Linked DNA regions of Lonchura striata. The protein of the gene in region 2 interacts with the protein of the main gene of each other region in a biochemical or structural test. Links are inferred from orthologs where the notes say so. Each region holds a gene or a part of one and is shown on either strand. Other genes may lie near its edges. The genes, in order: GTF2F2, GTF2B, GTF2E1 and NR2F1.

The links.
Region 1: the proteins of GTF2B (region 2) and GTF2F2 form a complex in vitro, tested with the Homo sapiens proteins (2 studies listed by BioGRID and IntAct). The link is inferred for Lonchura striata from reciprocal best matches to the Homo sapiens genes GTF2B and GTF2F2.
Region 3: the proteins of GTF2B (region 2) and GTF2E1 form a complex in vitro, tested with the Homo sapiens proteins (2 studies listed by BioGRID). The link is inferred for Lonchura striata from reciprocal best matches to the Homo sapiens genes GTF2B and GTF2E1.
Region 4: the proteins of GTF2B (region 2) and NR2F1 form a complex in vitro, tested with the Homo sapiens proteins (2 studies listed by BioGRID and IntAct). The link is inferred for Lonchura striata from reciprocal best matches to the Homo sapiens genes GTF2B and NR2F1.

The regions. Positions count from the first base shown.
Region 1 is NC_134604.1:60,919,845-60,927,826, forward strand, and holds the start of GTF2F2 (general transcription factor IIF subunit 2), read left to right. Parts: upstream 1-4,980; 5' UTR 4,981-5,069; coding exon 5,070-5,135; intron 5,136-7,982. UniProt on the Homo sapiens protein: TFIIF is a general transcription initiation factor that binds to RNA polymerase II and helps to recruit it to the initiation complex in collaboration with TFIIB.
Region 2 is NC_134611.1:19,524,420-19,531,265, reverse strand, and holds the start of GTF2B (transcription initiation factor IIB), read left to right. Parts: upstream 1-3,843; 5' UTR 3,844-3,914; coding exon 3,915-3,931; intron 3,932-6,353; coding exon 6,354-6,460; intron 6,461-6,846. UniProt on the Homo sapiens protein: General transcription factor that plays a role in transcription initiation by RNA polymerase II (Pol II). Involved in the pre-initiation complex (PIC) formation and Pol II recruitment at promoter DNA.
Region 3 is NC_134604.1:27,752,164-27,760,008, reverse strand, and holds the start of GTF2E1 (general transcription factor IIE subunit 1), read right to left. Parts: upstream 3,021-7,845; 5' UTR 2,934-3,020; intron 1-2,933. Other genes in the region: RABL3 (rab-like protein 3), read left to right, coding at 3,249-3,294, 3,474-3,565, 5,187-5,316.
Region 4 is NC_134642.1:68,473,286-68,480,408, reverse strand, and holds the start of NR2F1 (COUP transcription factor 1), read right to left. Parts: upstream 3,018-7,123; 5' UTR 2,949-3,017; coding exon 2,498-2,948; intron 2,298-2,497; exon of another isoform or gene 314-2,297; coding exon of another isoform or gene 301-313; intron 1-300. UniProt on the Homo sapiens protein: Coup (chicken ovalbumin upstream promoter) transcription factor binds to the ovalbumin promoter and, in conjunction with another protein (S300-II) stimulates initiation of transcription. Binds to both direct repeats and palindromes of the 5'-AGGTCA-3' motif.

The DNA.
Region 1 (7,982 bases), on a different chromosome or scaffold from region 2:
TAGTGGAAAGTCCAGGAGATGAGCGACTATAGATGCTGCTGACCTTTTGTGCTGAGGTAGTACATTACTAGAGAAGAAGATCAGAAAAAATATCAAGGAGTGCAGAAGAACAGGTTAAACTCAGTTCTATGTAACATTTTCTATATACCTACAATGAAAAGGCACTTTAGAAAGTAACAAGTTGATGAAACCTCACATTACCTTTGTACTATTACTAGGTTGAAAATGTTGCATGCTTAAAGCTCCTTCTTGAGAGACAATGGTGAAAAAGGCTAGATAATATTTTTTTATGCCTGAGAGGCACAAAAAGTACCTTGAGTTAAAAAGATAATGCCGATTTTATGGTCATTAAAAAAATTATTTTAAATTAGGTTCAAACCAAGTATCTGAAATTCTCTAACAAGTGTTTTCTTCCTTTGAAAAAAATAATTTGCAGTTGCGTCTTTCAATTTTCTCTCTTCCCCCACTCCCACTCCTTCCTTGATATGGTGAAAATCCTAATAAGCAAGAGTACAAGCTGCCTACAGCCAAATTTACTGCACACTGTCAATCTGATGGAAGACATGGTATGGGTTGGAACTGCAAGCAGAGGCGCAGCACCATTACTGTGAAAACGAAGTATTCTCCAATATATAGCATAGATAAAAATGTATGGCTGTAAATATATAGAAAGAATTAAAAATTATAAATGAATGAATGAAGGCTGCCATCTTTTCAGAACTGCCTTTTTGTGTTGTGTTTTGCAGCAGAAATGCCATGTTGAAGATTTCATACTGCCTAGGATTTTACTGAAATAGGAGCTCAGCCCTGTGGTTGATGTTTTCCAACTCTGTGCCACAGAACAGCTTGGACTAAACAAGTCTGTTATTAACATGTTGCTCAAAAGCAGTTTGAAAACACAAAAGCTCCAACATATATTTTGTCTTAAAAAGACACACTGGAAATTCTTTGCTGCCTCAGGAAATAGGTATGCAGACCATACCCTGTTTTGGAGTAAGTTACGCAGAATTTATTTTCTCTTATTTAAAAATAAATAATAATGATCTGCCCAGATGTTCTTTTTGTCTTTGCAGATTATTTCTTCTCTTTTTTTCCAGCTTACACAGACCAACTGCACCACAAACGAGAGAATGATGCATTACAGTTGAAGATGGCAAAAGTTTTCCCTCCTCTTACTCAAGCAGTTCAAACAATAATGGTAGTTTTGAGATTTAAGTTTGAGTTTTTGTGGCATCCTCATAAGTCCATGAGGTCTTTGCTGACTGAAAATTCAGGTATTCAGAATAAAGGCAGCACTCATCTCCTCCAGCACATGGAATCCTCTCTGATGGTGTCCATCGCTGATACTCTGTGGGAACACCGGCTCCCAGGAGCACATCTTCCCTAGTTCTTGCTGGGCTTTGAGGAAAGCACATGGGTTCCAAAATGCAAAACTCCCATCAGCTTCAACAGGGAAGCATCAGGCTTTTTGCATCTTCCGCTGCACTGATTTTCACCAACTACCACCAGGTTGCATCAATTAGCCTGTTCCTAAAACATTTGAACAGAAATTCTGTGTGGCTGCTGATGATGCTGCCAACTCTTCATCTCACCTAATAGGACAAGAGGAAAATAAAAATGAAAGGCTGTGTAAGTCTCAATTTGGCCATCTCTCTTCTCAGACACATCTGTTTCCATGCAAGCAAGAAGAAAATGGGTGACTAACACACAGCTCTGCAGCTCAACAGCTGGCCCCTGGGTCCTCCTCCATGGCACTAAATGTGTCCCTGGTAAACACAAGGTTGAGATTTTAAATGAGGAATTAATGAAAATGCGTACTTTTTCCTGCTTGTTGTCCCTTTAAATTCAGTTTCCATGGAAACAGCTATGGAAAGGCTGCCTGGAGGAAGCCAGGAAAGATCTCTGCCTGGTCGCCTTCCCCTCTGGGTTGCCAGCTGAGCCACTTCGATTGTCAGGCTTTTACAGAGGTTTTTGCTATCGTCATTTACACATGGAATATGAGTGATGACTCCTCATGGATTCCCTCCCTAAGGAGTCCTGAGGTGGTCAGCCATGCTCCTGCCACCTGCTGCTGGGCTCTCTGCAAGTGGAGCTCCTCTCCTTCCATCTGGTGGAGCACAGGCCCATCTGAGCCCCCATGATGCTGCTTTGCTGCAAATGTCACCCCTGTTAGAGACATCCATTCCATTGCTTTTTTCTTTTGAAATGTGATGGTGCATGTGATCTGAGTACACAGACTGAGCTGGGAGCAGTGGTAGAGGGACAGTTTTGTTGTTAATTCAGTGTTTATCCCGGGGGAACATTTGAGATCCCTCCTGGAGTACTGCATCTAGCCCTGGAGCTCCCAGCACAAGGCAGACACTGACCTGTTGGATAAGGTCTGGAGGAAAGGAACTAAAATGGTTAGAGGGCTGGAGCACCTCTCCTATGAAGACAGACTGAGAGATTTGGGCATGTTCAGCCTGGAAAAGCAGAAGCCCCAGGGAGAACTTTTTGCAGCCTTTCAGTATGTTAAAGGGGCTCACAAGAAAGAGAGACACTTTTTATTCGGAGCCTGTAATGAAAGGACAATGTGCAATGGTTTCAAAGAGGGTGGGTTTAGATTGGACATCAGAAAGAAATGTTTCCAAATGAGGTTAGTGAAACATTGGAACAAATTGTCCAGAGAAATTGTGGATGCCTTATGCCTAGAAGTGTTCAAAGCGAGGTTGGATGGAACCTGGATGGACCTGAGCAACCTGGTCTAGTGGCAAGTGTCCCTGCCCAGGGCAGGGCGTTTGGAATTAGGTGGTCTTTAAGCTCCCTTTCAACCCAAATTGTTCTATGATCCTATGAGCAGGATCCAAAGCAGGTTGTAAAGCAATGGTGTTTGTCTGTGTAGATCCAGATCCACTCTTTTTCCAGATGAACAAAACCAAAGGGTCTTAGACCTACAATATTTGGGGGTGACACAGTCCCAGAAAATGGGGCTGGTCTAACTACTGTTGAGATGCACCCACTTCCATTTTTATTAGCATTTGAGGAGCCCTTAGTAGGCCTATGTAAGGTTGTCTTAAAGAAAACTGAATTTTCAGTGGAAGTTAACTAACAGTAAAAGATTTATCCACCCTCCAAGCTGAGTTCTACAGAAAAACACAGTTCAAATGTAAAAACAAAAGCAATTTTAAAATGCAATTAATTTTAAATGTGACTTACCCTAGTCAATATAATAGTTCAGTGTTAGCCATAATTGCTTCAGATACATATAAAAATGTTGTCCTCCTTGGTTACCTAGATGATTGCCTATAATTAGAAAGGCAGACTCTCATATCTGAGATATAATACTACTGAGATCATTTTTTATGAGCCAGATTAGCAATTTCCTGCATATTGTACCAGAAAATACCCTCTGCTTGCTGCTGGTACAGACTCAGATAACCTTCACCGTTGAGCAACCAGACTTCAAAGAGGATGTAAACTTGTACTGGGGGCAATTCAGAGAGCAATGGACATAGCCAGAGGTCTAGAGAATAGACCTATGAGACTGAACTGAACAAACGGAAGTTATTTAGTATGAGAGGAGGTAAATCAAAGGGCTACATCTCAGTAAAAGGATAAAATAAAGAAGAGAGGAAGCTAATGAAATGCTTTCCATGCCATAGAATCATAGAGCAGTTTGGATTGGAAAGGACCTTAAAAATCATCTAGTTCAAACCCCCTGCAGTGGAGAGGGACACCTTCCATTAGACCAGGCTGCTCAGAGCCCTGGCAAACCTGGCCTTGAACACTGCCAGGGATGGGGCATCCACAACTTCTCTGGGCAACCCATGCCAGTGTCTCCAGCATGTCCATGTCTTTCTTGTGCCTATAGTGGATAGAAGGGAGATAACAAAGTTAAACTGCAAAGGGGGAAAACTTCCCCAGAGATAGTGACAACTGTAAAATAAGGACTTGGGTTTTTCTTAGCCAAATACACCCACCTCAACCTAGGATGGGCAGGCACTTTCCTGACACAGGACATTTTCAGTGTCTCAGATGCCCTCCTATCTTTGGACAGCCTAGCCCAACACTTCCTCATGAGTTCTCTTTCTGGAAAGCTAAGCTTAAATCTTTACTTTTTATTCCCAGGAAGTGATTCACCAGCTGTGTTTTCTAACTTTCTTGGCCTTTGAGCACACCATGATGCTCTGATTCCCTTTCACAGAAGCTAGTCCTCTAGCCACCATTTCCCTCCTAAACAGAAGGGCACTATCATGGTAGTACCTCCTCTCTCCAGGCTTCTCCTCCAGTCCTTCTAGATCATTACAGCATGCTGGGATAACTATTCTGGTACCAGGAGGGAATAACTTCCTGCTATGCTCTGCGCTGGTGCTGCCTCACCTCGAAACCTGCGTGCAGTTTTGGGTGCTGCAGTGTAAGAAAGACATTAAGCTGTTGGAGAGCGTCCTAAGGAGGGCAATGAGGATGGTGAAGGGCTTTGAGGAGAAGCTGTATGAGGAGCAGCTGAGGTTCCTTGGTCTCTTTATATTGGAGGAGACCGAGGGGAGCTCTCGCTGCAGTTACAGCTTCCTCGGAAGGGAAGAGGAGGGGCAGGCACTGATCTCTCTCATAACCAGTGACAGGACCTAGGGAATGGCCTGAAGCTGTGTCAGGGGAGGTTCAGGCTGGGTATCAGGAACAGGTTCTGCACCCAGAGGGTTGTTGGGCACAGGAACAGGCTCCCCACGGGAGTGGGCACAGCACCAAGCCTGACAGCGCTCAAGGAGCATTTGGACAGTGCTCTCACTGTCCAAATGCGACACTCGGGCACGTCCTGTGCAGGGCCGGGAGTTGGACGCGATGGTCCTTACACGTGCCTTCGAACCTAGGCTATCCTGTCACACAGGAACTTTCTGCGGGGGATTCCCGTCCCTTCCCACGGCCCCGCCCGGGCGGGGACCCGAACCCGCGGCTCCGACGCAGCGGGGCCCGCCCCGCCGCGCCGTGCGGGCGGAGGAGGTTTGTCCCTCACGGGCCGCCGTGTGCCGGGTGCGCTCCGCTGCCGCGCTCGTCTCGCCCGGCGCCCGGCCCGGCCCGGCCGCTGCCCCGCCATGAGCGACAAGGGCGAGCTGGACCTCACCGGCGCCAAGCAGAACACGGGCATGTGGCTGGTGAAGGTGAGGAGCCGCGGCCCCGGGCCCGGCCCAGCGCGGCCTGTGGCAGCCGGGTCCCTCCGTTCGTCCCGCCCCGCCGTGCCCGGGTTGGCGCCGTGAGGCCGCGGCTGCCGCGCCAGGCTCGGCCGGTGGCCCGGGACAGCCGCTGTGCCTGCTCCCCTTCCCGGGGACAGCGCGGGCTTGGACCCCGTGCCCGATCAGTAAAGGAGACACCGCAGGGCTGCCGGGAGCTATCACAGAATCAGAATGTTGAGGGATTGGAATGAGCCTTACAGTTCATTCAGTCCCAAACCCCCTTGCGGTGGGCAGGGACATCCAGGACTAGACCAGGTTGCCGAAGGCCTTATCCGGCCTGGCTTTGAATATTTCTAGGGATGGGGCATCCACGGCTTCTCTGGGCAACCTGTGCAATGTCTCACCACCCTCACAGTAAAACATCTTTTCCTTGTCCTTGCTAGTGGTTTGCGATGAGCAACAAACGTGGCCATGTAACTTTTATTTCTCCAAAACTTTGAGAGTTGGACAATGTTTTGAATGTGCCCAGATTCACGTCCTGATTAAAACTGTCCACATCCAGCAAGGAAAGAGGATGCCAGTGTCTTGTCATTACAGCTGCCTTTGGTGCTAGTGAAATACAGCTGTAGTGGGGGGGCTGTGAAAAGGTAGCGAGGGTGTCAAATCAAACCTGTTTGGTGCAGGGCCACAGTCCAGCCTGGTGCCACCACTAACAGGCTGGCATTGCTCTGTTCCCTGGAGTCAGTGTTTTTGCTGTCAAGACATTTTCCTGCCAATACCAAGCATTGTTTCAGAAAGGGGAACTTGAAGCTGATGGGGGAGCATGTGCCCTGCCTGCTTCGTGTCCCCTCTGGGTGTGCTCCTCTTTTTCTAGACCTATATTTATTCTGTCTTGGGAGAAACAGTTCCTTCATCCCCTTTGTTCTTTAGGAATAGTTTCAGACCATCAACTTGAAAGAACCTGTGGGGACAGGTACTAGTCCTGGGTGGTGAGGGGGGTGTAACATCATCACACTTCAGCTACTAAAACTGCTTGCTGCGGCCCTTAAAAACGGTTGGGATTTCAGACTTGCTTTGCTGTGCAGAATTTTTGGTGGGCAGGTTGCTGTGTTGGCTTCCTCTTCTGATGGCTGAGTGTGTGATATCACAAAGCCCCAATGAGCACTGTGCAAGTGCTCTAACTGCAATAGCTTTTCCCTGGTGGCAGCAGAAACCTGCGGAACTGGATCATGACGTTCTGAGTGACAGGATGATAAAATGGCAGATGAAATTAAGAAATTAAGATCTGAAAGAACTAATCTGGTGTGCTTAGAGAAAAACTATCAGAATTATTTGTATGCAGCAGTTGGGTTTCTGCTGGTTGTTGTAATTCAGGAGGAGTGTTTTTTTCTGTACATGGAGATAACTCTAAGAATATGTCAAATGAGCAGAGCCAACATTGGACATGATTACAAAAAGCACAGAAAACAAAAGAGAAAATATTCTTGTACCATCATGTTGCCTCTATCCAGAATGCTCTGCGTAGCCATGGTCTCATTCCCCCTACTGTAGAAAGTGTGCAGACCCGGGAACAGTAAAAAGGAGATCACCAGATCTTGTCTTGGCAACAAGGAATGATGGCTGTGGAGGGAACTCCTAAATACCAACCTTTTAGGCTGGCAAGAGGATTGATTTGGAAATCTTGCAGAGATCTGAAGGAATGAGTAATGTCATGGGTGGATAAGGAAGAAGTGAATAGGCAAAGGTGAACAGGAAAGAATCAGTTCAGACACAAGAATTAGAGGTGTGTCAGATTAATTAATTGCTGGGGCTCAGCAAGAGCAAAGGAGGTATTGTTTTGCACAATGTGCATTTAAATTTTGGAACTTCTTGCAATTAGGAGTTCTGAATTTCAAAACTTTGCAGAAGCTCAAACACAATCAAATTCTGGCAAGAAAATTGACTTCAGAGATTAAAAAGTAATATGCTGACAAACCCCATGTCTGCTAAAACACCCTAGAAATTAGAAGAGCATGCTGGGGAAATAAATTTTCTTCGTATGTTCCTCCTGAAGTAACTGCCACTAGCTGCATTTGGGGACAGGACACTGAACTTGCTTGTCCTTTAGTCTGATACAGTTTGATGTTTCCTGAAGCAAGGACTTTTCAGGCAAATTTGTTCTTACAGCTGGTGCCACTCTGTTTAATGAGAAAACAGGACTGAAAGGAAAGCTGGACTATTACTCTTCCGAGTAAATGTTGATGTAGTCCTTCATGCATGTGTTCTGACCTTACATCTGTCTTCTTTTTTAGTAATGATAGTAAAAAATACTTAAAAGATGCTAACACTGATAGATGATAACATGGGGTATGCAGGATTTTATCTTTTGATTTCCTTTGGACTTGAACTTGGAAACAACCACATCTGTTAGTAGGACTTCCAACTCAGAGGCAAGACAGTGTAGTGTCTGTGTAGTACCTGTACTTTTTATCTTCACTAGCTAGGGCAATGAGGATGAATTTATCCTTCCTTTGAGGGAGAGAGCATTCAGTTCTGATGGAATAAAAAACCTGGCTTATTTGATTTCCTTTTAGCATGCTTTGTGCTAGCACAGGAAGTATTCCAGAGAGGCTACTTAACGGGCAATAAAAAAAGGTAGTGATGAGTATTTTAGAAGCATGAGCAGTAAAAGGAGGTACTATAAAGAGAGTGAGTTGCTTTAGTACAAATCCAGAAAGCCACTAGATTTTTATTTTTGTGTTTTCAGTGAAAGCTAAAGTGGAGAAATAGTAGTAGTATTTGGTTATGTACTTGTGGTAAAGTGAAGCCCATTTAGTGTTAGCCATTAGAATGTTA
Region 2 (6,846 bases):
GATTAAGACCCATGGCCCATATTAGATAATTGCAGTGACTCTCTTCATACCTGCTACCTTCTCTGGCTGCAGAAATTGTATCAGTTAAATAAAGTGAAAAGTGCTAAGTTACATAATTACTATTTTATTCACCACAATAGTCATGTATGGTGTTCTGAAAGTATTCAGTCCTCAATACAATTATAAAAGTGGCATCTGGAATAGGCATTCTATTTACCTCTGGCTACCTTGTATTTATTACATGGATGAATGTACAAAGCAAAATTTACTTTAGAGGCTCCTTTACAATCAGATGTACAGTGATGTAATTATTTGTGTCATTATGTTTCCTTTATATTACAACATTGGCAGTATCACACCAAACTTCAAACTCTTTAGATCTAGGGGGCCATGGAGGTCTAATGCTATTAGCCTAATGCTGCCAATGCTGTTCTATGGAGCTCAACTACCTTGGTTTCAAGCACAGTAGATAAAGGACTTATTTCAAAAGAAGTCAGTATGAAGAATTCCTTTCTAGCTACCTCCTTTTTCACTTCTTTCTGCAATCTTTTCATCTGTGGATGTGTTTCCCACTATCAGAAGCAATCCAGGCAGGTGACTTTTTAAGGCTGTGTGCTATGTCCTCCATGGTCTTTCTATGTTCTTCTCACAGGCTGTCCTGGTTTCAGATGGGATAGAATTAATTTTATTCTCAGTACCTGGTACAGTGCTGTGTTTCAGATTCAGCATGGGAATAAGGTTGATAACACACTGATGTTTTGGTTGTTGCTAAGTTGCATTTATCCTAAATCAAAGACTTTTTTGTGTCTCCTGCTCTGCTAGTGAGGAGGAACAAAAAAAACTAAAAAAGCTGTGAGGGAACGTAGCTGGACAAGTGACCCAAACTGGCCAATGGATACTCACACCATGGAATGTCATGGCCAGTACATCAGCTGGGGAGCTTTTGGCAAGGGGGAGCTGAACGGGGCCTCAGCAATGGGGTCTGCCATCAGTCAGGGGCTGGTAAGCAACTGCATTGTGCCTTACTCATTTTTCCTTTTTCAAAATTCTTTTTGTTATTATTATAATTATTAATTACTATTGTTGTTCTTTTTAACTTTGTTTCAATTATTAAACTGTTTTTATCTCAAACTACAGGTTTTACTTTTGATTCTTCTCCCCATTTCACCAGTCTGGGGTGGTGGGTGAGTGAACAGCTGGGCTTAAACAATGACACAGCTCTTATGGGTGCAAAGCCTGAACAAATTCACTAACTTGTTTTGCCAGCATTTTACTTATTCTGTGATCACACAGCTGGACTCTTAACTGAGTTCCATGAGACTGTAATCATGGCCAGGACCTAAAAAAAGGTATAGAAAGTGGCCTGAGAGAAGAGCTGCTAGATATTTTCGTTAATACTTCTTAGTCTTGGGTTTTTGGGACTCCAGTAGCTGGGAGTTCCACAGTCTTTGTAGCTGTCTTGCATAGCCATTCCCCAGATCTCACCAGAAGATTGTTGGCTGGTATTTTGAAAGTGGTGTGTAGTCTTTGTGTAGAAAAATCAATTCAGTAATTAGATTTACTTAGCTGAAATTTCAGAATTAATTTAATTTAAAAATTCCTATATTAAATTCTAAGATAAACTACTTTTTAGACACCAAATTTGTGTGAAACCTATACTCTCTTTTACAAGAAGTTTACAATCTGTTTATACAAGTTGCACTGGGAGAGCCGTGATGTTGCAAGAACTGAGATTGCAACAGGCTATTGAACTACATGATAAATCAACAAACCATTACAAAGATCCTTTAGACATACAAATAAGAGCCAGTGATTTGTTTTCATTAATGTACTGTTCATTGTGTTTGCAAAATAGTCTGAATATCCCACTGCATTATTGTTGAAATGATCCTGGTAATGCAAAAATTGCAGTTTAATTAAATACTTTTATTACTGACAGTAACCAGCATGAGAAACTTGGTGTGAAATTTTGAGAAGCTCCAGAATGACCATTGAAGCAAGTTTTAAAATAGGATTATTGTTGTGACTACAGTGATGGGAAAGAACAGCTGGGGACAGCAAGGTAAACTTTGTATATTATTAAAATGATCTGTTGACAGAGCATATTAATGGTACTTCCATCTGCCACATAACTACGTTTTTTGTCTGCTACTTGAAAAATTGCTGCAGACAAGGAATAAAAGAACCATTATATATCTATTGTAGTTTTGCAATATATCTGAAAATCACTGTCCTTCTATGGTGAAAATGAAATGCTTTCAATTCTAAGTTAATGAGAATAGGCTTAGAGGCTTGGCAATGGTTGCCAGCAGAACATCTTTTTTGTAGAACAGAATGCAGAAGAAACCAAGACAAACCTGGAAAGCTTGAAGGGACACATTGTGGTGATGAGGCACATCTACTGCAGTCATTGCGCCATACATATTTCAGAGGTTATGGAAAAACCTTATATCATGTGCTATATTCACACCAACAGTTACAGTGACTTGTTTTTCATTACTCTTTCATCTTTTGGTTTTACTGAGCATTTCTGAAAAATATTATTGCAAGTGGAAAAAAAGTTTTAAGTTTGTATCTCAGCATTTCTATTTTCTAATAGTTCAGCTTTCTTATATTCCAAAAGGTTTCTATTTATTTTAGCCTAAGGAATTTGCTGTCAAGTTTAAACCTGCCCATTTTCAACCAGCAAATAGAACTGCAGTTGGTAGAGAAGTGTTTGGAGGTTGTGTGATAATTATTTTGACTCAGTTTTATAAGTATTAGAGATCTTTTCAACCACAGGGGATTTCTTCCTTTAAGCTAGTAAATTGAAAAATATTCTTGTTATATTGTGGAGACATGAGCTCCATAGGTGTGAAAAGTCCTGTGTATCTGATTAATAAATAGATAGCAAATTTATAACTGTTGAGAGACTTCAATACTGATCACTTTAAAGCATTAATGGCACTTTACAAAATTTATAGGCCTTCCTGTCCCATTTATCCTTCTCTTTCAGTGCAGGGAGGCTCATTCTAAAGGAATAAATTTACGTTCCACTGTTTTATATATTGGCCTTGAAAAACAGTTGTTGCTGCACATTCTACAGGCCAATTTCGCATGCAGATAAACTCTTGGGCAGTGAAAACCAGGACTCTAGTGCAGTGCTGAAGGGTTTTGGTCTTGCAAAGACCAGTTTTTGTAGTTTCTCCTCCTCTTAGGCCTGATACTCTCTGCCAAGCTGGATGCGAGGAGGAGAGACAGAAGGGGAGCTGATCCCACCATGCAGGTGTGCGGCGGGACAAGGGAAGCCCCCGGACACCAGCGGGGGGCTTTGTGTTTGCTTCAGTGAGCCCGAGGCGTGAGCGCGGCGCGTTCGCCGCGGCCGTCCGAGTCACGGCCGGCCCGGCACCGGCGGGCCCTGCCCGAGAAGCGCCCGGTTCTCCTCGCCGTTCCTCAGCCCACTGCCAAACCGCAGCAGCTGTGCAGGCGACAGCAGGAAGGAGAAATTAAACTTCCCCTTTCTGGGAATTGGTCTCCGCTTAGTTCCAGAGCCGAGAACGTGTTGTAGCCCATGTACTTCTGCGCAAACTTGGGGCAGCTCTGCTCACGCTTGTCTTCCGTGGGAATTCACGGAACTGCCGGAGCGTGCACAGGAGCAGCTGAGCCGGAGCCACGCCCCGGGGCCGGCACGGTGGGCTTTGTGCGGGGGTCTGTGGGCTGCTGCCCGGGCCGAAGGGAAGGTCCCGGGCCGAGGGGAAGGTCCCGGGCCGCGTCCTGCGGGCCCGCAGCCGCACGGCCCCGCCCGGCACCGCGCGTGCGCCCGCCCCCTCGCGGCACCCGTAGGAGCGCCCGGCGGCCCCGCCCGCCGCTCTCGGGATTTAATCACAGGGGCCGTCCGGCCGCGCGATCTCCGGCGCCGGTGCAGCACCGCCGACATGGCGTCCACCAGCCGGTACGGGCGCGGTCTGGGCGCGGGGGGCCCGAGGGAGGAGAGGGAGCTGCTCCGACATCGCTCCCTTCCGCGGCACACACAGAGGATGGGTGCGGCGCCCCCGCCACCGCCTGGGGACTGACCGGCGGCCATCGCCGCTCTTGCCCGGCCCCGGGGCTGCCGTTTCAGCGCGGCTCTCGCAGTGCACGGTGCGCCGGCCCCTCTGCGGTGTTCTGTCTGTCGGGGCCGTTCCTCAGGGCGGCGGGCGGTCGGGCCTCAGGGCGCCCGCGCCTGTTGGTGTGGGCCGGGCCGGGCGGTCCCCGGCTGAGCGGCCTCTGAGGGCCGAGCTCGCCACCTTCGCATCTTTGTGTCGCTGCTGGTGGGCAGCGCTCGGAGGAGATGCCGAGGTTTTTGGGGGATTTATGACCTGAGCGCCGGGCTCCTTGTCAGCCGCAGCTCGGTGCGGACGGCGACTCGGGCCGGTGTGTCCCCCGAGCGCGGCTGGTTTGGCCGGGCCGTGCCGTGCGGGCCTGAGGTGGTGCCGGGCTCGTCTCGCCGCGTCCCTCGGCCGGCACCGACTGCTGCGGCCCCGTGCCCACTGCTCGGCGAGCCGTGAGCCGAGCGGCTCCCTGGCCTGACTCCACCTTATCGGGGCCTGGAAGCTGCTTTTAGGCTCGCACCCTAAATCCGTACCGCCACTAGTCGGTGACCAGAGGGGTTTCGGGTTCTGAATTCTTGCCTCCTGGAGACGTGCCGAGTTTTTCTTTCTAGTCAGAAAGACCCACGGAGCAGACTGGAATGACTCTGTAACTCCTGCTAAACCTGTCCTGGGATCTAGGAAGTGCTTCCGAGTAATCTTGCTGCGTCTCGGGAGTTATTTGCTGAGATGGGCCTTTACACACGTGACATGCATTTTCCTTGCGTGTAGGTGGCTTAGCAAATTGAACCCATTGCAGGGGATACAATATATATGTGTAGGTAGATAAACCGAGTTAAATTAGGATGGGAAGACTAATTTCTGCAATGTTTTACGAAGGTAAAGTGTGAAACAAAACATGGTTAGTATTCTTTGGGGTGTCTGGATTTCTTTTTTCCTTTTGCTTGGTGTGTCACTGCCTTTTATGTAATGCCAAATGTCAGATGATTGTGAATGCTTTGTCAACAGTGTTGTCATATGAAACTTGTGGCTGGGAATAGAAGGAAAGTAGTTTAAAGAGCTTTCATGTACTGTTTTGAACATAATTTACATCTGAAGATCTTGTGTTGACAAGTGCTTTCTGGAGGTTTTAATATTAATAGTTACGTTGATTTTCAGTTTTGGTTTCAGGTTGCAGACATTTTTGTGAACAGTCAGTGGATTAAAATGTTTGGGTTTTTTGTATTCTAGACTCATCAGAAATATCTAAAAAATGAAAATTAAGATGGGAAGTATAGGTTAGGCTGAATTAATGGCAAAAATAGCAGTGGCAAATGGGTAACTCAGAGTAATTCTATTGGGAAATTTTTTACAATTGAATGGATTAAAAATTGTTTTTTGGTTTAATGAGATGGAAGTTAATAGTCATGATAAATTGTTTGAGATCAAACTTCTGTACTCTTGTGCTTTTAACTTTGAGCAAAATGGCTTTGTGAAATACATGGATCCCAATTGTAAACACTTTTTATTACAATTTTTAAATAATTGGTTTTAGTAGAACTATGTAACAGTTGTTAATATGAAGCATTTACTTTTAAAACGTTTGGTTAGAAGCAATTGGCTGTTACTTTAGTCAGTAACTAAAAGCTATTGCATTAAGTAATGCTAATGCTTTATGGGAAGCTGTAATTGTTAAAGATCCATGGGTGTGAAAGAGATCCCTGTTTTCAGAACTTCTTGTCATATAATTGCCTTAGGACCTGATTATTTTTTAATATTTTGCTATTAATTGCTTAATTTAAAATGGAATTTATTGTTCAAATACTTTAAAATAAACCAGTGTTTGAATTGGGAGTTTTGCAAGCATACATGTTGTATGTGCACTACTTCCCGAGTTAAGAACCTGGTAAATAATATTGTTCTTAGTAGATGGAGTGAAAATGCTCATTTGGAATGAGGAAATTGCCACTAACTTGGGAAACGAAACTGCATTTAGCAGTAGTTTGAGTTATACTGCATTTAGTCAAGTCTGTTACATAGATTTTTAATGTCTTGATTTGAAGTGATTTTGGTACAAGATACATTACAAGAAAATTGGAATTTAAGTTGATCTAAAGTCTTGATTGCCAATTGTAGTGTTACAGCATTCAAATAAAAAGTGCAGCTCAGGTAATCAAGTTAATATTCTGTAATTTAAATCCTTAAATGCTGTATTACTGAAGTTTTCTTATCATCAAGGAACTCTTTTGCTTTTGATATGCAGTCTGCTTGTTTAATAGTAATGAATACTTGTCATTTGTTTCTTAGTTTGGATGTACTTCCGAGGGTGACTTGCCCAAATCATCCAGATTCCATTTTAGTGGAGGACTACAGAGCTGGTGATATGATTTGTTCTGAGTGTGGGCTAGTAGTAGGTAAGTAATTATTAGTATTTTTATAAATTGCCATGTAACCTAAATGGTGTGTGTAGGTTTCTGCCCTCTTGATGTCCAAGTGTGAGTGGTAGGTTTGATGGAGTGTTTGTTTGTTTTTGCTTTTCTGTGTGGGGCTTAGGTTCTTTTGTGATTGTCTGTTTGCTAAAAGCTTACTGCTCTGAATAGCCTGTCTTCTGGTAATTATTGCACTATGAAAATAATCAAACTCTCTTTAAAGACTGAAAATTTAAAATGTGCTATAATATGAGTTAGAGTATTGTGCTGTCTAGTCCTATATTCTGTCTTCATTCATGACTTCTTTCATTCAGGAAAGTATAAGAGATGTTACAAAAGCTCTCTGTGAAATAACTTGCTTATAACGAAAA
Region 3 (7,845 bases), on a different chromosome or scaffold from region 2:
ACTGTTAACACTTGCACAGGTGCTTCCTGTTTTTCCCCAAATTTATTTAATTAGCGTTCTTTTCCACTAAATCTTTGAAACCAGCTTTTGTTGATTTGCTTAGAAAATGCTTCTGCAAGCTTCTGACACACAATTTTTAAGAAAGGGGAAAAATATTACTTGCTTGCACCACTGACATAGTTTCTTCAGGTAAAATCAAAATCAGGTTGTAATAAGAGAATCCCCTCTCCTGTGAATGTAGCAGGTACAACAATATTCTGCTCCTGCTGTCACTTGCAAACACCAGATCCCAGCTTGTAGTCTCACACTCTAACTTGATTTAAAATTCTGCTTTTCAGAAGATGATGCGGTTAAGCTAAGAGAAGAAATCCTGAATCTTCCTGAGAACAGGAAGGAAAGGCATACATTTCAGAACTACAGTGGGAAAATATGTCATCAAGACTTTCAATATCTGTACAACGTAACCTCAGACACTATTCATTCTTTCCAGAAAAGGGCACAGAATCTTCCACTTTGGAGTTTTGTTTTTACTTGCATTTCTCTGTAGTGAGTCCATAATTGCTTTTATCCCACATCAATTTCAAAATAAAGCCTTCTGACATTTTATCAAGAGCTTACTGAGTTTGATTCCCTGGAGAGTTCACAAATGCTGCTGCTCAGCCTTCCTCCCGCACTACATCAGGATGAGAAATAAGTGTATTTTCATTGCAAGACCTGCCTTGAAGTATGAGGGCAGAAAAGAACAATCTCTGTCCACTGAAATCCCATCGTCTTGTTGGCTTTCCATAAACTGAAACCAGGAAGCCTCAGGTATCAAAGGGATTTATTCACTCAGCATGAGAAGTTGTGCTGCAGCTGAACACAGAAAGGCTGAGGGGCTTGGCTGAAATGAGGGCTTTTTCCCCTAATTTCACAAGTGAAAACACATGGAACCAGATGTAGTAAGGCCACAATGTTTAACCACACCAGGCAGAAACTGAACAATGCAGGCTCAGGATGTAATTCTCAATCACCTTTATAATCTTAACCCAGCATAAACAATTGCAAGGTGTCAGGAAATTAAAGGACCACCTGTGTGGTCCTTTAATGGATGAAATTTCCTGTTGCAGCTAAAGTCAAATTTCAACTTCCCTCCCCTAAGGAAGTCTTTCTTTTCCTTCCTTGCCTTTAGCCACAAGCCCCACCTTTCTGTCCTAATTCTGGCAATTCACTAATCCTGTAGCAACAAGAATCAATTGATAAAAAGCGAAAAACTGACATATCAAAATAAAAAGTGGGACATTTCAGAGAGAGCAAAGGGGAAAAGTTCAAGAATTTAATCATTTATGTTACCAGACTAGAGCCAACACAAAACAAAGAAAAGAATGCATAGCTAAGGATGTAGATAAGTGGGGAGCTTTCCCCACAGAGGCAAAACTGACCTAACTGTAATGTGAGGCCATTAGAAAATTTTAATTATGGATACCAGAACCTCTTACAATTTACACTCTGATCTGAACCTACCAGGAGAATATGTGTTATTTCAGAGACGTGTAAGCATCAGCCCTCACACAATGTAGTTGTAAGGTTTAGGGGGTTTCTTTAAAGGGAAGAAAGTAAGATCATTTCTGTCACATATCAAGCCTGGGAAGTCATGATTACACCAAGGCAAAGAGAGCTTAACCCAGCATTCCTTTCTACGTTTCTGACAGGAAAAAAAAAACACAATAATTGCTTTTTCACATTATGGATTCAATAAGACCTGTAATGCCACACTTTTCATCATGATAGATGATGTGAGCAATATTGCCTTTTGGAATTTCCAGAAAGACAACGAAAAATTATGGAATCATTGGGTTAAGTACAGTTTTAGTTAGGTGAGTACATACCCTGGATAAAAGCAATAAAGAAACAAAGAAACTAAGTAACAAGACACTAGATTAGCTTTAATTAACATAGTTTCTTGTTCAGAAGAATCCCATAAAGCATCCTGTGAGAAAGTGAGCTGTATGTGACAGGAAGTGGAAGGCAGGAATGCAATTCCCATCAAGCCTCACTCCGGCCTGAAAACATGTTCTCCTTCCCAGGCACATGGCTCTGCCCTCACACACCACCTAGTGCACCAAACTGATTGCTTAAAGGTAGGAAAATACTTTTTTCCCCCCTCCTTTTTGCTATGTTTTCCAAGTTAAGTGAGCTGGTGGTGAACTCTGATGAGCAAGAGAACCAGCACGTCCAGAGAGGATGCCACTGCAAAACTCCACCTTTTGTGGATGAAAAATATTAAGCTATCTAGACTTCAAGAAAATGCACCTTAGCTGTGCACGGCTAAACACCCTTTTCAGAATAATCATTCTGCTTTTTCATTGTGAGCTGCTTGGAATGGCACAAGCCTAATAGCTGGAGCCATTGAACAGCAGCTCGGTGCCACTATGAGATGTGATGTTGGCCTGCTACTCGGGGAACCAGCACGCTGCTGAGGCCAGAAGAAATATAATACACCAAAAAAAAAAAAAAAAAATCAAAAACAAAGCAGGAACGAGCTCACTTTGCCAGGCAGCTACTCCTGAGATGCCCGTCAGCCCGCATGTCCCTCCGAAGCACACAGGGCAGAGCTCCGGGCGTACAGCAGCACAGCGAGCTGCAACGCCAGCCTGAGGGGAGAATCCCTCCCCGTCTGCACCGCTTCCCACTCCCTACCCGCTTCCATGTGCTCAGCTTTAAACACCGAACTGTGTGGGATTCTGTAGGGCAGGAGGAGGTCAGCAGAACCTCCTTTTTAAAAAGGGAAAAAAAAATATATAGAAAACAAAGGAGCCTCAACAAACACCGCAGGAGGAACGGCAAACGGTGGGGAGGAGCCAAGGCGAGGAAGGGGCCCGGACGGGCACACCGTGCGCGGAGCAGGGGCCGCGGGCCGCAGGCAGCACCCCGCTCCCGGGGCCGGCACTGACCTGGCGCCGCTTCCAGCTCTCCCCGGCTCCGGGCGGCGCCGCCCGCCTCACCGCCACGCGCGCCGCCGCCCTCAGCGCCACCGCCAGCGGCGCGTGCGCCGCGCCGCCCCTCCCCGCCCGCGCCTGCCAAGCGAGCCAATCGCCTGCCCGCACAGAACCGCGCCTTCCCGCCCTCACCGGGGATCAACCAATCAGAAGTGACAACCGCGCCGGCCGCTCGAGCAGGCAGCCAATAGGTTGGGAGGAGCGGGAAGAACACGCGCCGCGATTGGCGGGCGCCCCCGTGGCCGGGCGTTGTTGCTAAGCAGGGTAAAGATGGCGGCTCTGGACAGGGTCAAGGTGCTGGTGCTGGGCGATTCCGGTGAGTCCGTGTCTCCAGGCCGGGTGGCCTGCGGCCGCTCCTCGGCCATCTGCTCCTCGCTTCCCTCCCCGTCACCCGCTGAGGAGCCGGGACCGCCGGGACTCAGTGCTGCTCCGGGCCTCGCCACCTGTAACCTTGGCACCGCCTCCCAGGAGTTGTTCTCTTCTGTGCACTTGCAGGTGTCGGGAAATCGTCGCTCGTCCATCTCTTGTGCCACAACCAGGTGTTGGGAAATCCGTCCTGGACAGTGGGCTGCTCCGTGGATGTGCGAGTAGGTGACGTGCACGGCCTCTTGGTGGCCCTGAGCCTGACGTGTAAAGGAAGGGCCTTGACTTTTTATTTTAATTACTTACCTCCCCAGAAAGAGGTGTACTTTGATCATGTGTTTTGCTGAAGGCTTAATCTTCTGATGCAAGTAGCGTCAAATGTGAGCCAAGCACTTGTGTAAGCGAGTTTTGACCTTCCAAGGTTGTCACAATCAGACAAGACATTTGACACTCTTTGCTCTGCTCCCTGCTGCAGTGCCCACTGGTGTGTTACAAGTCACAGGGTGGCCAGTTCCTTGAGAAACAGGCAAGGAACGGCCAAGTTGTCAGCCAAACACAGTGGGAGAAAACACTTTGCTTGTTTAGGTTGTGGGAGCACAGGAAAGCTCTAGGTCATGCTCATGTGTTAGAAAAACAAATTAAAATTTAGGGCCTGGCATGCTTCAGTGCTCTTAGGGCTGGGTGAGGAAATTGACAAGAGAAATTTACTGTTGAGACCTGGACACCAGGAATGCAGAATTTATAAACCACAAAGACAAGTTACAGAAAGCAGAGCTGAGGAAGAAACTAACAGACAATTAATAAGACTGTCCCCATCTGGGAAAAAGATAATAAAAAAGGCTGAAAAAGTAGGCTAGTTATCATGAGAAGTGAGAAATCAATAACCAATAGAAGATCAAATACTAATTAATGAAGAGAACTGCATTACTTGTAAGCCAGTGAGCACTAATTCCTTTGTTTGCCAAAATGTATCAAGAATTTTAATTTTTGGTGACTGATGTACACATTTGGTGAAGTGCTACTCATGTACCTCAGTGCTGAATAAAGTAGTGTTGATTTTCTAACCTAACTGGGTTAGAGAGTTTATTTCCTGGATTTTGGTGACAGTTGTGACCATGGAGTTGCTTCTCCTCCTGACTACTTGCTGCAGGACCTGCTGTGGGAAGAATGAGGATGTCCATCCAGCAGTTCTTTGGCCCAGCCTACAGCCCTCATGGGACATTGATAAATGCTCTTCTCCTTCATCACTCTTTGCTGCATTCTCCTTGAAATGCATTGCCCTAGGTTAGGAATGTATTTCCAAAATCTGAGGAGAGGAACGTGGCAGTCCTTTTTGACTCTGGAGCAAAACGACTCAGCAGATCTGGGGGCAGAAGTTGTTGATTAATTCAGTTGAGATGCCAGAGTTTGGGTAGGAAAAAGATGTGTTCAGTTGGCATCCAGGTCTGTCACCTGTGTTTATATTCTTGCAGTGCTGCCCTGTGGGTTTTAACAACTAAGAAGTCATGACCTTAATTTTTCCATTTGCTTTAGCAAAACACCGTGTCCAAGCACATCATGAGATGTTGGGTTTGTTAATACTGAGATGCAAAGGGTGCTCCCCGTTTACTCACCAGGCTCCCTCTCACATGAGATGGTGATCTCCATCTCTGTGGTGCCCAATGGCTGCTGCTTGGCTCATTCCATCTCTCTTCCACTCAAGAGGTTTGAAATAGTGTGTCAGCATGAGAATTTCCAAATTTCTATCCAAGTGCAATAATCCTTCCAGCTGGAAGTGTAAGTGCCATGTGGATTAACTCCTGTGACATGGTGCTGTGGTTATGTATAATGTGAATTTTTCATCAGATCCATGACTACAAAGAAGGAACCCCAGAAGAGAAGACCTATTACATTGAGTTGTGGGATGTTGGAGGTTCTGTGGGCAGTGCCACCAGTGTGAAGAGCACAAGAGCTGTGTTCTATAATTTGTTGAATGGTAAGTGTGCTTGGTGTAAATATGGTTTTTAATTCTGTTTCTGTTAGGAACTGTCCCTTGGTTCTGGGGCAGAGTTTCAGGCAGCCTGCCTGGGGGCTACATTGTTCTCCTTTCTGATTTATACAGGAACAAACCTGATACCATTCATAGGCAGAATTTTATGGATTCAGTTGTGAATGGCAGATATTTCAGGCAAACCTGGGCAGATGAGCTCTATCAGCCTCCCCCTTCAGTCTTATGCAGCTGGCACAGCAGGGAGGCTTTGAAGGTGCAGTGGTTACGTCCATCTTTCCGGGTCTCCTATACTGCAGAAATATTATTTATATTTTATAAAGATTTTTTTATGATTTATATTTTCTTATCTGTTCGGTTGTAAAACTTACAGCAGAAAAATTACTGTTCCAATTTTTATGACTTCAATAGTTACATCCTACCCTGGCAGATTTGAGCTGTGTCCCATAAAATTGCCATATGCTGATTACCATCTTGCCTCTGCTCATTTAGCTTACCAGCTTATTTTTAAGAGTTAAACCTTGCCACTTACTGCATATGTAAAAAGCAGTATTTTGTGCCTTCTGTTGAGATATTGTCTTAAATGCCTAGTAGTTAATTTGTGTCTCTAACAAGAGCAAGTAAGAGATTATAAACATAACAGTGCAGTATTTCAATTGTTACTTTTTGTCATCCCAGGACAGTTCACTAAAAATAGATGTGTATCAGACTAACACCAGCTTATGAAAATCTGGCTCAAATATTGTGTTTGATTCTCTTTGCTTATTCCCACTCATTTGAAGGTTTTTCAATAACATGTTAAGCCACACAATAAACATTTTTGGGCTATGATTAACTAGTTATTTCTTCCTCCTTTCTCAGGGGAAAACTATTAGTTACCTCTTGCTTATACTGTTAACCAGATCTCTGTGTATAAGACGAGTTGAGCTATGCCCTCAAAGCAAGCCTCTTTAGGATATGAAAAAAAAATTGATTTCTTTTTGATCCCAAATCTACAGTGTGCCAGGAAGTGTGGTTCAGACTTGGAAATACCTTAGAACAGCCCATTAAAAAATGAAATCTTGGACTCATGCATCTGAATTATAATTGATGACATTAAAATAGAGTTATTTATCTCCACTGCCCAAAAGATACTAATTAGACAGCTTGCATATGAAGAGTTGACTTTGGTAGTTAACCTTGGGTCTTGTTTCTTTCATTAGATTAATTTCTCCATTAGAGCTTGTCTCACAAATTGCCTCTGCTCGGCCTGATTTAAGAAGAGAAGATGAATACATTCCTTCTGCTTGACTGCTTGTGCTTTCTGGGCTTGCAGTGGTCTGAAAGCCAGTCAGTGTTTGGTTGTGGCAGCAGCTGTGCAGGCTGCCGGGTTGTTGACAGGGCTGGTACACTTTGGTTTTGGATTATCCACAGATCTTCTTCTTTGCTGAATCTCCAGCTGGTGTGGGGACTGTGATATCTGTGGACAGTGACTGGGCAGTAAGGCTTTGGCTTGCAGACCTTGTTGTGGGAGGAGCATTTCCCTGAGTAGTCATTGGTCCTGCCAGCTCTTTTTGGATGTTGACAGTCTTTTTCTGCTGGTGCAACTAACTGGGCAGGTTTTAGGTGAAGCAGATAAGGAAACTGACCAATCAGACATAACTGAGGGAGAGTGTGTGGAGGTGGGAAGTGTTTCTCACAGGTTGTGCAGCAGTGCCTCTGGATCTGTTGCTGTAGGCCAAGTTATGTTGTGTCAGGCATTTTCTCTCTATGCTGGGGGTGGACATGCAGCAGAGTTGCTTTTTTATACTGTTACTGAGATAAATGCTTGAAAATAGGGCTATAGCTGTGATATGCTGGGAACTCTCGTGGGAGAGCCTGTGCACAGTCATGTGGGATAGTGGAAAATATTTGTGGAAATGCAGTTTGTTCATGGCGTGTACAGTGGGTGGCACCTCTGGAAGTTACGGTGAAAGATAAATTACTGAGTTTTTTCCACCTGTGGGCTGTGAAGTGTTTTGAGAATGAATCCTGATGCAGATAAGGGATATAATTGCATTTTATCCTTGAATTGATGATAGTTTGAAGTCTGGAGGAAGTGGGAACATTCCACATATTGCAGAAGGTGTGAATAAATAGAAGAAATTTGCTAGCAGGAGTTGGTAATTGAGTTAGGAACTGTGGTTATCAGAAGTGGGTGTCTGTTAATAGCACAGCTAGGAAGCTTGACTCTGTCTCAGGATTTACATTTTGAAGGCTCATAGTAATGAAAAATGCTAGAAACTTAAGATTAAGTGCAGTAAGTCTTATTAATTCATGCTTTTACCAGCCATTTAGTGGAGTATGAAATTTTGCCAGTGTCTGTTTCCCCTTTGGATACCTCCCCAAATATATTTGCATTAAGTCTGGAAAATGTAGGAAGGCAGTAGTTCTCTCTGAACTCTTTTGAAACAAAGAAAAAGCCTTCAGACTTTATAGATGGTGTGATAAAAAATAATTATGTTTACCAGAAAAAGGCTAAAATTTTCTACTGCAGTA
Region 4 (7,123 bases), on a different chromosome or scaffold from region 2:
CCCTTATACCGCTGAAATGCACAAGTAAATTGATGTATCCCTTTTTAAAATGAAATATTAAATAAAATAATTCATAAAACCAAATGCGTCCATATTCTTCAAAAAATACCTCGACGTTACCCTTCAAGCTGGAACAGGTCGCAGCGTTCCAGCTCCCCACTGCTAACTTTATCACACAGAACCAGCTTTCCATCGAGACCCCCCTCCCCCGCCCAGCAAAGTTTTCCCTGCTAAAAGGAAGAGAAAGGTTAAATATTATCAAGGGAAAGGGGGAAATAAAATAAAAATGTCCGAACTTACAATAGCCAAACATTCGTGGGAAAAAAAAGGGGACGGTGTAATTAATATCTTTGGTGAGCTGTTGCCACTGCAAAAGCCTGCAGTCAGCGTTGCACAGTGAATGCACAAGCTTGCAACTGCAAAAACACTGGATTCATTAACCATCTCCACACAGAGCGTAAGCATGCCTCGAGTCCCGAAAGCTGACCAAAGTTGGTTTTTTTTTTTTTTTTTTTTTTTTTTTTTTTTTTTTTTTTTCTTTAGTGTGTGCGTGTGTTTTATTCCTTCAGTGCCAGCGTTTGCAACCGCTTGCCATGTAAACAAATGTAACTTCAGGGGAAGATACGGCTACTCAGGCTTGTACCCTGCACACACAGACACCCCGCACAACCGCACACGTTTGCAGGCACACACCCGCACATGCAATCACTCATGTTTCCGGCGCGCCACATTTTTCTCAACTTTCTCTTTTCTTCCCCGACGAGCCCTCCTCCCACCCGGGCCAGATCTCTGTCCTGCTGCCCTTCAGCCTACCTCTCCCTCTTCAATCTACTTGTAAACTTGGCAGATATTTTTCATTTAACTGCATGCATAATTCTCACTTTTTTTTTTAATTTTTTCTCCTTCCTTTAAAAAAAAATTTGCTTGCCTCCACTCTCCTAGGTGCCTACCAACAGCCCCTGCAACTACCAATGAAGCCATCATATTTGTGAGCTCTTTCAGATCTGGAGCAGCCTAATTCAAATTCTTTTTCCGTGGCATATAAAATACAGTTTTAAAATCCCTGCTCTGCAAAATCACCTATTTTGCTGACGTGACATCTTTAGAACATCTTTAACGACAGTCACAGGGTAAACTTTAAACCGAGAGAACATGTTTCAAGGAGAAAGGAGGGCAGCAATTCTCCCTACACGAGGATGAGTCTGAACGCAAGGAAAACCACAGACAACTTTTGGAAAGAAGGAGAAAAAAAATCAGCAGAGCGCTTGGAAATAGTGGGGACCCCGTGCCAGATGCAGGCTGCGGATGCTGCTAAAATGAGAAGAACCGGTAAAGAGGTTATAAATCGAGATTTGTATGAAGACTTTAAGGAGAGGGTGGAGTTTGATGCAGAAATAAAATGAGCAGCGCACTTAAAAAAAAAAAAAAATGACAGAAGTACAGAAACACGGTTCAGTCACAAACTTTCCTTTGAATGCATGGAATGAAAACAAGGCCAAATCTCTCACAGAAGCACACTCCTGGGCACCGGGAAGCACATGGAAGCGAAGACAGAGTAGCACATTTCCTCCCCTTTTCTTTTTTTTTTTTTTTTTCCCTTTTCTCCCTTCTATCTTTTTCACACCCTTTCCTCTTTCTTTAATTACAAGTCTTTCATCTTTCTTTCGGGTAAAATGAGCCTGAGAGATGAATCTCAAATACCGAGAGGTATTGCAGGTTTAAAAAGAAATGATGGGGTGGAAAGGGGGTGGGGAGGGGGTGAGGGGGAAGGAAGCTGAATGGAGTCACATCTCGTACGGGAGAAAGATGTATCTCCCCCCACCCTCCGGTCTCATGCCAACAATAGACAAAACCACATCTAAAACACGCACACGCACACACGCATACACGCGCGAGCAGGGGGAAGTGGGGATAGCGGCTAAATGATAAATATTTAGCAAGCGATTGTAATAATAGTAGTAATAATAATAATAATAATAAATTCTCTGCACAATTATCAGGAAAGGGGAGAGTGTGGCAGTGCTGTAGAAGGGGGTGGGGAGGAGCGGGAGGGAGGGCAGGAGGCACACACCGAAAAGCAAAAGAAAACACCACCAACCACCATCGACAATAACAACAGAACCTGGTGCAAAGCTGCCAGATGGAGTGCAGGCAGAGGAAGAGATTGACATGTGCATGGAAATATATAGAGAGTCCTGGCTGGATTGCTACGGAGAGCTGTAAATATATATATATATATATATATATATATATATGCACATATATATATATGTGTGTGTGTATTTATTTTTACATATTTATATTTATATGTGTGTGTGTTTGCACGCCGCGCGTGTGCGCGCGCGCGTGTGTGTATAGCTATATGTATATGCATATAGGTGCGCGTGTGTGCGCGTACGGACAGGCAGACACAGACAGACGGAGAGCCCTCGCACACGCACGCCTGCACAGCCAAGGGGAGAGGGGAGCGATAGCATAGTAGTGAAGAAATATTCACCTTCCCGCCTCATGCCCACTTTGAGGCACTTCTTGAGGCGGCAGTACTGGCACTGGTTGCGGTGGTGCTGGTCGATGGGACAGTTCCTGTTGGCGCGGCATGTGTAAGTTAAGTTCCTGCGGACGCTCCTCTTGAAGAAACTTTTGCAGCCCTCGCAGGTGAACTGGCCGTAGTGCTTGCCGCTGGACTTGTCTCCGCACACCACGCATTCGATGTGCTGCTGGCTCTGCCCCGAGCCCTGCTGGCCCGCTCCCTTGTCTCCGGCCGTGCCCGGCGTGGAGGGGGGTCCCGGCTGGCTGGGGGTCTGCGGGGTGTGTGGGGTGGCCGAACTCCCCTGCTGCTGGGGCTGCTGCTCCCGGGCCGGCTGCGTCGCGGCCGGGTTGGGGCCGCTCGGAGTGCCCCCGGCCACGTCTTCCTGCGGATCTCGCCAGCTGCTAACTACCATTGCCATATCTCGGGCCCAAAAAAGTGCTGGGGAGCGGCGCGTCTCGCTGCGGGCTGCCGGGGAGTGAGGCGGGGGGCGGGGGGGTGGCGGCCGCCCGGGCGCCGGGGGCGAGCGGAGAGCGAGGGGACCCTTGCTGCCGCCTGCCTCCGCCTCTGCTGCCTCCGCCGCTGCCCTGCTGCCGCCGCCGCTGCTGCCGGCTGGAGCCGCTCCTGCCGTTTTCTTTATTTTATTTATTTTTCGCCGCCGAGAGCCCCCCTCCTCTCGCTCGCGCTCTTGCTAATTTTTTTTTTAGAGAGGGGGAGGGGGCGACGGAGGATTTTCTCTTTCTCTCTTCCCCCCCCCTTTCCTTTCCTTTTCCTCCCTTCCTTTTCCTTTCCTTTCCTTCCCTGCCCTTTCCAGCGCTCCCCCCTCTTTAAAATACCCCCGCCTGACCGCTTCTCCCCTCTGCTCCCGCTCTCCCCGGCTCTCACTGCCTCTCCTCGCCCTCCCCCCCCCCCCCCCCCCCCCCGCCGCCACTTCAAGTTGCAAAATCAGAAACGGCAAACAAGGCTGTCGGGAGAGGCATTCAGGAGAGTAACACGCCGGACACGCACACGCAGGCAGACACGCGCGCAGATGCCCGGCACACGGCTCCCCACTCGCGCACACGCACACACGCACGGGCACAGGCACACGCGGTCCGGGCGCTACGAGCGCGGAGGATGTGCAGGCATAGAGGAAGCCGCGGCGCCGCCGAGGAGGAGGAGGAGGAAAAGGAGGAGGAGGTGGAGGAGGAGGAGGGGAAGGAAGAGGAGGAGGAGGAGGTCGCCGCTCGCCGCTCGTCGCCGCCGGGGCTCGGCCGCCGCCGCTCCCGCGGAGGCTGCTGCCGCTGTCGCTGCCGCCGGTGCCGGTGTGGGCTCTCGGGGAGGCGGGAGGTCGAGAGAGGAGCCGCTCGTCGGCGATCAGAGTATGGAGGTGTCCGGGGGCCAGGTCCAGGGCAGTGCGCCGTCAGCCATTCAGGGCGGTGGAGCCGGGGAGCTCGGCGGAGGCGGGCAGGGAGCTGAGGCAGTTTGATCTCCTGTCGCGGCGGCAGGGAAGGAGGAGGAGGAGGTTGCCGGTCGCTGCTCTTTCTCTCCCGAGCTGCTCTCTCTCGCTCTCTGTCTCTCTCGCTCGCTCGCGCTCTCTCTCGCCTTTTTTTTTTTTTTTTTTTTTTTTTTTTTTTTTTTTTTAAATCGCAGAAAAAAAATCGGATGTGACTAAATTCGCAGAGGAGACGAATTCACGGCGAAGTGTAAAAATAGAGAACGGGAATAATAACGACACTTGCAGGAAAAAGAGAGATCCAAAGTAGGTCGGTAAATAAATCCTCTTCTCTTTCTTGCCGTTTCGGTGTTCTTCTGTGAGAGCGCACGATACTGGTTGCGAGGAAAAAAAAAAAGGAAGAAAATCGGTGGAAATAGTCCCAAAAAGATTCTTTTTGTTTGTTTGTTTAGTTGCTTAAAAAAAATATTTCGTGTAAAAACTCATCACCCAGAAAAGAAGCCCACCCCCAAAATTAAAAAATAGGCAAGAATGGTTAAAATAATAACGGTATTAAGATGTGAACGCGTTCTCTCTCTCTCCGGACTTTCCCCCTCCCCCCTGTTTCTCTCTCTCTCTCCTTTCCCCCTTTTTTCTTTCTTTCTTTCCGAGTTTGTTTTTTTTTTTTTTTTTCAGTTTCACCTCTCTCCTCTTCTCCTGCAGGAATGAAGCGAAAGACACAAGGAGGAAGGGTGGAAAAAAGAAGAAAAGGAAGGAGAAGAGGGAGATGAAGGGGGGGCACACAACTAATAGAATATGCAAGAAAGAGAAGGGGGGGGAGAGAGGGAGAGAGGGGGAGAGAGGGAGAGAGAGGGAGAGAGAGAGACCCAAAAAATGAATGCGTTTAAACGGTGAGCCTAGCGAAGCAATGTTTCCGAAAGGGGGATCTGCGCGAATGTCTGTATATAGTGAACTTTGACACTACTATTGAAACTGACACGTTTCTATGGAGATAGCTGCCTTATATGGAGCTCGTGTCAAGGACCCAAGAGAAGGGCTGCTGGCAACTGATAATCAAAGGCGACTGACTGGTCAGAGCCCTGAACTGGGGGGAGAGAAATTGGGAGGCTAAGGTTAGCCAAGCCTCCTTCACTCCATTGGTTACCCCCCAGCTCCCACCCCCTCCGCGCTTTTCTCTTTCTTTCTTTCTTTCTTTCTTTCTTTCTTTCTTTCTTTCTTTCTTTCTTTCTTTCTTTCTTTCTTTCTTTCTTTCTTTCTTTCTTTCTTTCTTTCTTTCTTTCTTTCTTTCTTTCTTTCTTTCTTTCTTTCTTTCTTTCTTTCTTTCTTTCTTTCTTTCTTTCTTTCTTTCTTTCTTTCTTTCTTTCTTTCTTTCTTTCTTTCTTTCTCTTTCTCTCTTTCTCCCTCTCTTTCTCCCTCTCTTTCTCTCTTTCTTCTCTTTCTCTTTCTCTTTCTCTTTCTCTTTCTCTTTCTCTTTCTCTTTCTCTTTCTCTTTCTCTTTCTCTTTCTCTTTCTCTTTCTCTTCTCCTTCTCCTTCTCCTTCTCCTTCTCCTTCTCCTTCTCTTTCTCCTTCTCTTCTATCTCTTAATTTTTAAAAATTTAAATTAAAAAAACATTCTCTGCTACCTACTGAATGGGATGGGGAAGGGAGGGGAGAAGGGGAGGGGGGAGGAAGGGAGGGAGAGAGGAGATTCTTCTGACAAGCACAGTTTACACTGAGATCCCCCTGTGCTGCTATTTACTTTGAGACCTGAGTAGTATGGGTCATCTATGGCCCCTCTACTCCCCACCTCCCCACCCCATCACACAGAGGAGGATGCATTGCGAAAGGTAGAAAGGTGCATATAAAAGGACACGATATGGGCTCCCTGTGAAAAGTTAGTGTGGGTTGGGGTTTTTTTGTGTTTGTTTTTTTCTTTTTTTTTTTTTTTGGGGGGGGGAATTTTTTTTTGGTCTTTTTTTCCCCACTACAGATCTGAAATAGGGATTTGCCTTCCACTTTCCCGTTGCAAAAGCCACTCCAGGGTTTTTAATGATGAGAAGGAAACACGCGCGCTGCACGGAGGAGCAGGCACCCGTATATGCACACCCCTGCACACACACGCGCTCGAGTCCACACACGTATTCAAATCCCCATATGTTCCCATCCCACTTAGGGCTATTTTTGCAGCCTGTCCCTCGCCCCTCACCCCCTCATTCCTCACCTAACATGTCCACCTGCAACCCCGCAGGGTTCCACGCTTCTCGCGGGGGTTTCACCCCTACCCTTTAATTTTATTTTGGGAGTGTGTGAGCAGTCACAACAACCCCAAACGGTCCTGCACGCAATGTCCTTCGCTTCATCCCCTCCCCAGGGTCTCCTGCTCTCCCTACGCAGGCGGGTGAGGAGGATGCGCGGGGGGGTGGTGGGCTGTCGGTCCCTCTCCTGCCCCTCGGCTCCCCTCCGCGGCCCGGCGCGGCTCCGGCCCCGGCGAGCAGGAATCGCTGGCTCCGGCTGCCATCTAGTGGGCACGGAGCCGTCGGCCCGGGGGAGCCCGGGAAGCCATTCCGCGGCCTTCCACCCCATCCCCGATTTAACAAAAAATGCATTTCTGCTTTTTTAAAAACAATTGTTTTCAATAGAAAACTAAACTGCGGAGAAGACCTTCTTCTTTTCAATTTCTGTCTCTCTCACAAGCCAGCCTTATCGGCAGCTTCCCTTTTGTCAGCGATCTGAAATTTGCCTTGGGTTCGAAAGACTGAATGTGACAAAGAAGAAGCAGACTGTAAAAACTGAACAGCTTCTCCCCGCAATAAAAAATCCCACCAAAACTAACACCCCAAGCCCCTCTACTCACCACTATATTTTTCTCTTACCTCCCATTAAAGTTTATAATCAGATTAGAATCTGGATGGAAGACCTACAGAAGGAAAGTGAATTAAATAGGTGACAGAAGTTTTATTGTTACTATTTATTTTTGTAAAGTGATGTTGCTTTAATTAAAAGTAGAGAGAAAAAACCAAGCCCCTCAGATTTGATGTATAGTGATCATTATATTTTTTTTTCTTTCCCTGTCAACTCTGAAATCTAAGGCTGGGAGCCTCCTGAAGAAAAGATTCCTTCATCATTTCTAAGATCAGAATAAACGCTTGATTTTGTCCCGAAATAATGAAGAGATTTTCAA